Ovis aries: one gene and its partner. The protein of the gene in region 2 binds, or shares a complex with, the protein of the main gene of each other region. Links are inferred from orthologs where the notes say so. Each region holds a gene or a part of one and is shown on either strand. Other genes may lie near its edges. The genes, in order: RAP1A and RAF1.

What was found.
Region 1: the proteins of RAF1 (region 2) and RAP1A are in contact, whole or in part, in a crystal structure (PDB 3KUC), measured with the Homo sapiens proteins. The link is inferred for Ovis aries from reciprocal best matches to the Homo sapiens genes RAF1 and RAP1A. Residues at the interface, in NP_001341619.1 of Homo sapiens: Thr57, Arg59, Asn64, Lys65, Gln66, Arg67, Thr68, Val69, Val70, Lys84, Lys87, Val88, Arg89, Gly90; in NP_001010935.1 of Homo sapiens: Val21, Gln25, Ile27, Val29, Asp33, Pro34, Ile36, Glu37, Asp38, Ser39, Tyr40, Arg41.

Annotation. Positions count from the first base shown.
Region 1 is NC_056054.1:89,122,900-89,126,713, reverse strand, and holds part of RAP1A (ras-related protein Rap-1A), read right to left. Parts: intron 2,980-3,814; coding exon 2,923-2,979; intron 250-2,922; coding exon 109-249; intron 1-108. UniProt on the Homo sapiens protein: Counteracts the mitogenic function of Ras, at least partly because it can interact with Ras GAPs and RAF in a competitive manner. Together with ITGB1BP1, regulates KRIT1 localization to microtubules and membranes.
Region 2 is NC_056072.1:56,409,734-56,414,084, reverse strand, and holds the start of RAF1 (RAF proto-oncogene serine/threonine-protein kinase), read right to left. Parts: upstream 3,052-4,351; 5' UTR 2,749-3,051; intron 2,583-2,748; exon of another isoform or gene 2,330-2,582; intron 1-2,329. UniProt on the Homo sapiens protein: Serine/threonine-protein kinase that acts as a regulatory link between the membrane-associated Ras GTPases and the MAPK/ERK cascade, and this critical regulatory link functions as a switch determining cell fate decisions including proliferation, differentiation, apoptosis, survival and oncogenic transformation.

The DNA of each region.
Region 1 (3,814 bases), on a different chromosome or scaffold from region 2:
TAGGCACAAGGTAGATACCCTCCGAGTTCCTATTGATAGAGAAAATGGATATTTTATATTTGGCCACAGAGACATGGCAATACGCTATATATACAGAGAAATACTTACATCTTCTGTGTCCTTAACTCGCAAAATCTGTTCCCTCAGGTCTTGTAAGTCATTAAACGTGGACTGAGCGGTAATAGAATATACTAGTGCAAACCCTTGGCCATTCTTCATATACAAATCCCTCATTGCTGTAAATTGCTCCTATAATAAAAACATGCAATAAATTATAAATATGACTCCTCCTTAAATGTACTGAATTGAAACATTAAAATGGAAAAAATTTAAAACAGAATAATAACAAGTTAGCTACTGAATTCTTTATTACATGTTATAGTGACAGGAAACCTAAAGACATGATACACAGCTTCTGGAAAATCTGAGATGAATGTTCCTGTCTCCTATTTACCTGACTAAAAACAACAAACTGTAAGAATTACAAGGGAAATATTAACCACTTTTCTTTTTTTTTTTGGCTGGGCTACTGTAGCATGCAGGTCTTAGTTCCCTGACCAGGGATTAAACCCATGCTCCCTGCAGTAGGAGGGTGGAGTCTTAGCCACTGGACCACCAGGGAAGTCCTCACTTTAATTTGGCTTTGTGTGATTTAGAAAAACTGTATATAATTCTTTTATATATCTAGATTTTAATTAAATTATTTTGGTGCTACAAAAGATGATCTCCAAGGTAGTGTTTTCAGAAAAGTTCAAGGAGTAAACCCTGATGCCCTCCAACATTAACAGGTTGGGGAGATGAAGCCAAATCAGGACAGGACTTAGAAACAATGAATGATACAAGGAGAAAACCAGGCAAGCATTGTTTCCTGGAAGTCACATGAATAAAATTTTCACAGAGGAGGATAATGCTCTACTGAATCAAAGCTTGCTGAAAAAGTCAAGGGAACTGAGGATACATGTGAGGGATGTATTCTGAATGACAGATCATGTGCTTGGAGCTACGAAAAGAGGGGCTTGAAGATATGAGGGATAATCAAAGATGTTAGAATAAACAGACTGCAGGTCCCAGAGAAGTTGAAGGGTTTGAAAGGAAGTGAGCTGGAGAAACAAGATGGTGAGTGAAGAGTAAGACACTTGAAAATGAAATTTAGGATGGTATTATGTTATTGGTTATCATACAGTCTAGAGTAAAGACATGGGAATGAATGAATGAAGCAGAGTGGAGGTCAAGAAACTGACAAGCCAAGCTACTAAATCATCTATATTACCCATAAAGATTCTATTTGGATACCAAAATCACCAACACTTTGGACTAAAGCAGTGTTGGAGAAAGTGAGCAACCCTAAAGGAGAAAGAATTGATCTAGAATAAGACTAATGAGCATCAACTACTTTCCAACCTTTATGCAAGGCACTGGGGATAGACAAATATACAGAAAATTATAACAGCATGCTGACTGCTAGGATGGGAGAAATACAAGATATTTGAGAAAATAAGGGAGGATCTCTGCAGTGGAGGAAAACTTCTTTAATTTGGACATGAGGAAGAAGAATGTCCTCACAGTTGTGGAAGTATGAAAGGAAGAAGTAAAAAGTTTTTTTTGTTTTTTTTTTTTAAGTTTTTTAACTGTTGGGGTCTTTGGAAACAAAGGAGAATTATTGCTGATTCAGAAGCTAGGAAAATTGGGGGCTGGGGAAAGTGGAAAGAGGGAGAGACCTCAATTCAGCTGATACAAGGCTACTGTTGGAATTAAGATCCATTTTCCCACAAAAGGATACAAAAATATGGTATAATTTGTACTCTAATTGCTCCAGTCTTCTCATGTTTTTTGATCTGAAACTTTCTCACCATTTATAAAATTATAATGGGGGATATTTGTGAATTTTAAAACAACTTAAAACATTTAAGAATGCCATTCATTTTAGAGCACTGCCTAATAGGAAAAGTCTATACATATGGAGAAAAAAAAAGAAAATCATTTAATGTGTGCATTTTTTTGTGGCAGAATAAAACATCATTAATCAATAAAAAAACTTAAAAAGGTAATGACAAGTGAAGATAATGAAAATAAAAGCAAATACATAGAGTTCATTAACTATATTATAGGTATTTTGTGCCAAATGATTTATAGTCACCATCTCATTTGATCAATGTTGTTGTTTAGCTGCTAAGTCACGTCCAACTCTTCTGCAACCCCACGGACTGCAGCCCACCAGGCTCCTCTGTCCATAGGATTTCCCAGCCAAGAATACTGGAGTGGGTTGCCGTTTAGTTCTTCAGGGGATCTTCCTGACCCAGGAACTAAACCCGAGTCTCCTGCACTGGCAGGTGCATTCTATACCACTGAATCACCAGGGAAGCCCCATTTGATCATTACAAGCACCCTATAATGTACTATCATCATTATACTCATTTAAAGATATGAAAAATGAGGCTCGAAATAATCCTAAAGATTTTTGTCAGAAAACACTTCTATATCACTAGTCCCTTGAGATGTTATAATGTTAATAAAAAGCAAAAACAATTTTTAAAATAAATGAATTACCATGGTATCAAGAGACAGTATTATTTAAGCCCAGAGAAATACCTATTTTAACTAAAATTCTGGATTTAAAATACCTTAAATATCTTTTTTTTTTTTAAAGAGCAGTAATAGCATAACCCTCACCTCAATACAGGAAAAAAGAAACTCAACACACAGATTCTGTAGGTGAACTCAACATACAATTTAATAGTGATATGTGGGCATTAAGTACATTTAATGCACGTAAGAAAATTTAAGAAGTTTTACATTTAGAGACTTAAGTTCTTAATCAGAACAATAGTTTTTACTCAGAGGAATCAATCAGGTGACAAAAACCTGTTTACAAATTAAAATCTAACAAGAAAAAGGAAGAGAGAGAGAAAGAAACATCCTTACTGTTCCTGCTGTATCCAGGATTTCGAGCATACACTGTTGGCAGTCTACTTCAACTTGCTGTTGGGGTCAGGGTTGGGGGTGGAGGAGAATAAAAAAGTAACATCAAAATGTCAGTCTGTTTTCCTCCCACCTCTTCACTCAAAGTTCCTATTAACAACTGGAAGCCTTTCTCCAGCAGTTTGCTATATTGGTGGAGACCTAACTTGATAGTATAATAAAGAATAGGAGGTCTCAAACACATTCTACCAGGACTGTTAATGCTCAGTTTAGATATTTTTCTGACCACCCTGAAATATGAGCATTGATTTCTGTTATTATTAGAAGGCAGTGGTTATATTCTGCAATTTAAGAAAAACAGCAATAAACAGGTATAGTTCTAAAAGGAAAAAAAACCAGCATAAAGTGTGTATATTTATATTGTCTTCAAAATAAGGCGCAAAAGTACCAAGTAGCTCAAAATATAGCCAAGATTTGGGAGTAAAGAAAACTGACCACTTTTCACATTCAAGTCGTCAAAGTTTTACTAAAATGTGCCCCAAATTTAATACAGAGTAAAATTTAAATTGAAGAGATAAAGGGAACACAATAACACTGAACTCATACAGTTCTCAAGACTTTAACAAAAAGGTACTTCTTTGGAAAAGCTGTGTGCATAAGGTGAAATTTCATGTACTAAATTCTATTTTCCCAGGGCTTTACAGAAGAAGAGAAGGCTGGCCAAAAGAAGTACCAACTATTAATGGTTTGGAAAATTTTTAATAAATATGAGATTAAGAAAAGTGCTTCAGCACTCAAGGTACAGATCTCTGTTTATAGTTGAAGCTTTAACCAGCAACTTATTTGGGGGAAATTTCAGTAATGCAACACTGCCTTCTAAAAATAAACCTGTTAA
Region 2 (4,351 bases):
TCACAACACACATGATTTAAAAAACAAAAGATCTTTTTAAGTCAAAGCTTGACTTTATGGTTTCATAAACCCCCCACTGTCACATAGTCCACTGCCTTTCAAAGGCACTAGTTAAAATTCTCTTCTGCAAGTCAACATTAAGGCATGCTGTTCATCTAACAAGCTCCTCCCAAGACCAGGATTATGATGTATGGGCTATTATGTTAACATGCAAACAAAAGCACTCCCCATGTAACATTTTTCTATTTTTAGGCAACAGGTTATTAACAAAGCTTTATCTGGAATTAAAATGTGATAGAATCATGCACCTACTACAAACAGGTTACTTGAAATAGTAATTTGAAGTTATTAATTATATTTTCCATTTAATAAGTAACCTAGTGCTTCTGGAGAAGTCAGATTTAACTTCCAAGAAGTTGCTGTTTAATCCTCAGAGCAAACTTCTACTTTGGATTTCACAAGTGGCCTGTTTTAAACTAAAACCAACTAGTCTCAGAGCAGTTAAAATATAATACTTAATGTTTAACCATTCTCCATTTGATCTTTTAGATACTTTTCATCGTAAGTGACCAGCTTAATCTGCTTCTCACTGTTTTCTCCTGCAAAACCAAAACCTATAAAATATGTTCTCCTGTACTTCACTCAAGCCTTCTCCTTTGAAGGCATACACATCTTTTAATTGTTGTTAAATAAGAATTTTAGAAAACTAAGCAATTTCACTACAACTTATAATCACAAACACTGCATATCTAAAAGATAATAAGCTTTTACACAGAAAGAGTAACAGGTTAATTTTCCCAAGTATCCTGTGTTCAACTGGGTCAAATGTTTCTGTTGCATTTTAAACAGCAAGCCCTTAAAGTGATAAGGGTGAAAACAAACCAAAAGAATTTTAATCTTAATGTTCTGGAGTGGTATATAATCATCACAACCCAAAAAAGATTCAGGAACTTCTAGATGAAGTCTGTTAATATCATAATAGTCACTTTAGCACAAACATTAAGCACAACAATACAGCTCTTTGGGGAAAATTATGTTCATAGAGCTAAAGACTTTAAAACAGAACTGGAATCCACAGAATCAATCCGAACAGTTTACTATATAAAACATCTACTAAACTAGAAATAGTTGCATTCTACAATTTTTCAGATTGTTTCATATAATCTGCCAATTTCTAAGCAACTGGGGAGCACAATTTATGTTGTCAACAACCATTTAAAATGCGGTTATAGTAGACTGCCTTACATTTATAAAGACAACACTTTTGTGACCAAGCACAACTTCAGAAGAACCTTTTGCAAGAATCCCGAGAAATATGAATTCTGTTCATTCACCACAGTGCAAGAGCAAAATATTTGACGTAAAGCATTTATCAAAATGTTCTTGACGGAGCTTAACAAAGTAAATCTGTGCAATTACTAACAGCTTTAACATCATCAAGAGAAGGGGGAAAATCGATTATCAGCAAGAAAATTAGCAACATTCGTCTAAAATAACTCCAATTAAACCAACTAGCTCACGATCTTCAACAAAGAAAGATCCTTCGCAAGCTAGGCAACCTTTGTTTCAGACCCTCATCTCTCACCACTTCCTTCCTGCACCCCAGACGGCTTGCTGCTCCCCAAATTCATTCCAACTCCTGCACATCTCGGGGCCTCTGTACCAGCTGTTTCCTCAGCTTAGCCTGCTCCGCCCTCCCCACCTGAAGAGCATTTGCTCAGCACGAAAATCCCCCTCCAGTCTACATGCTCCCTCAACTCCCCCAAGCAAAATGAGTCGTACCAAACTAGCACGACCCTGGGTAAACCCATCCTAATCACAGCGTCTTGTTTTCACATTTGGGAGCGAACAGAGGGGCCGCCTACCTCCACTCAGACCCGAGCGGACGAAGCAGGCAGAAATAATGAACGCGGGCTGAATCCATTCCCTCCTTACGACTTTTCAGAACCCCGTCACACCTAGAGGAGGCACAGCAGACCCTAACCTTCCTCCCACCAGAGAAAGGGGCACACCCTGGCCCCCTGAGAGAGAACAATGAATGAACACAGCCGCCTCGCCTCTCCTCACGTCCAAACGCCTCTCTCGGGGCATCGACTAGCTCTGCAGAGCCTCTGCAGCTGCACAGCCGAAGCGTCCAGGCGGCTCTCACTTCACACAAAGGAGCCCTGGATCTTTATTCCCAAGCATCCTGGGGCCGACCGTCAGTATAAGCATCCCAACGGTATCATCAGTAACGCGCAGAGTCCTGAGCCCCAAGGGGAGGCCCCGATCCCGTCCTTTGTGGTGGGACACCGACCTACTTCCTCCTCTTGTCCCCGACCGCTCTCACCTTCCCGAAAAGGGTGTCACTTGAGAGAAGATGCAAGCCCGGGTCCCCCCACTCTGCGGCCAGAAAGAAACGACGGTGGTCCACCTCAGTGACAACACGGATTCGAGGCGTCTCTGGGCGGATTTTCCCGTGGCCGAAACACAAGGACTGTGCAGCGGGAACTCGGGTGGCGCCCGCACGTCTCCCCGAAACACAAGGAAATCCTGAGTGGGGAATGTGGGGACTCGGCTCGCCGGCCATGACACCGAGCCCCGGGGCCCCCGCCCGCCCAGCGCCACCCGGGGTGACAGCGGCCTGGCCCGGCCCTCCGCCCGACCGCCGCGGGGCCGTTCCGTCAGCGACGCCCTAGCCGGGCCGCCCGGGAACCCGGCCCACTCAGCCCCGCCGCCCCGCTCCCACGGCCCGGCCCTGCAGCCTACCTGAGGGAGCCCGGCCGCCTCCGCGTCCAGTCGTCCGGCGGCGGCGTCTGGTCCGCTCCTCCTCCCCGCGGCGGGTGAGGGAGCGGGAGGCGATCACATTCGGCGCGTCCCCAGCCCAGGGGACGGGGCCCCGGGCAGCTCTCGCATTGTCCCACTCGCGCTCCGCGGCCTCAGGGCACACACCCCAAAGCCCGGCCACCTGTCCCTCTCCGGGGCCCAAGAGCGGCAGGAAAGCCTTCCCGTCTCACTCTCGTTCTCGCCTTAATCCCGCCATCTAAGATGGCGGCCCCAGCGCCCGCACTTGAGAGACTCTCGGGCGGCCCCGGCAGGCGAGCCCTACATTCGGTGCTCCTCCTCCCGACCTGCGCCGCCACCAGCTCTGCTTCTGCGCGAGCCCGCCTAGGAGCCGACTTCAAACTTGGCTCGGGCATCCATCGCTCTGGCCTGAACTCTGGTCCCACCTCCCAGTGGGCGTGGCCTAGAGATCGCGCTGATCGCCATTTCCGAGCCGTAAAGGCTCTAGGGCGGGTGCTGATCGGCCAACGGAGTGGCGGTCGAGGAGGGTCAGAGTTTAGCTGCCCCGAAGGAGTCTGAGACTTAAAAGGGAGAAGAAGGCCAGCCTGGTGATATCTCAAGGTCCAGAGATAACCAAATGAGCCCGAGGACTCAGTGTAGAGAACAGTGTCCAGCTTTGGCGTGTTCTCCCTGGAGTCCGACGCATCAGGAGACACATCGCGACTCTGTCGTTTACCCATCATGTGGGAAAGTCAGTAAACTTCTGAGTCTCAGTTCCTTGCTGGCTCAGACGGGAAAGAGTCTGCCTGCAGGAGACCCAGGTTGGATCCCTGAGTCTGAAAGACCGCTGAAGAAGGGAACGGCTACCCACTCCAGTATTCTTGCTTGGGAAACCCCATGGACAGAGGAGCCTGGCGGCTACAGTCCATAGAGTTGCAAAAGAGACACAGTGTAGCTACTAAACAGCAACAACAAATGGATATTTTAATGCATATACCCATCGCCCCAGCAGGTCCGCTCTGGACACTAATTCTAGAGCACAAAAAGGCACTCGCTAAAATGTTCATTGCCATGCTGTTTGCCTTAGAGATGACACTGGAAAAAAATGTTACTTAGTTAAAAAGGAAACTGCTCAAATAAAGGGTGCTATCTCCACAGTCCATGATATCCATTTGTTAAAAAGAATCAGCTAGTTCTATATACTGATTTTTTTTTTTCATCGAAGACATTACATTTTAAAAAGTAGAACATGTACAGAATGACTGTTCATTCTCACAGGGGCACACAATGCTACCCAACACCATGTACATTTTTTAATTTAAATTTTTATTGAAAGCCTGATGTTATTCTCCGTATTGGGAAGTCAGCAATAATCAAAAGCTCTGTCTTGTAAAGAGAAAGCCAAAGAAAATATAGTCAGTCCTATGTACAGTATAAAGGGAAATGAAGATGAAGCAACACTATGTGTAGGACTCGGCTTCCTCGGTGGCTCAGTGGAAAAGAATCCACCTGCCAATACAAGAGACAGGGGTTCCATTCCTGATCCGGGAAGATCCCACATGCCGAGGAGCAGCTAAGCTCATGTGCC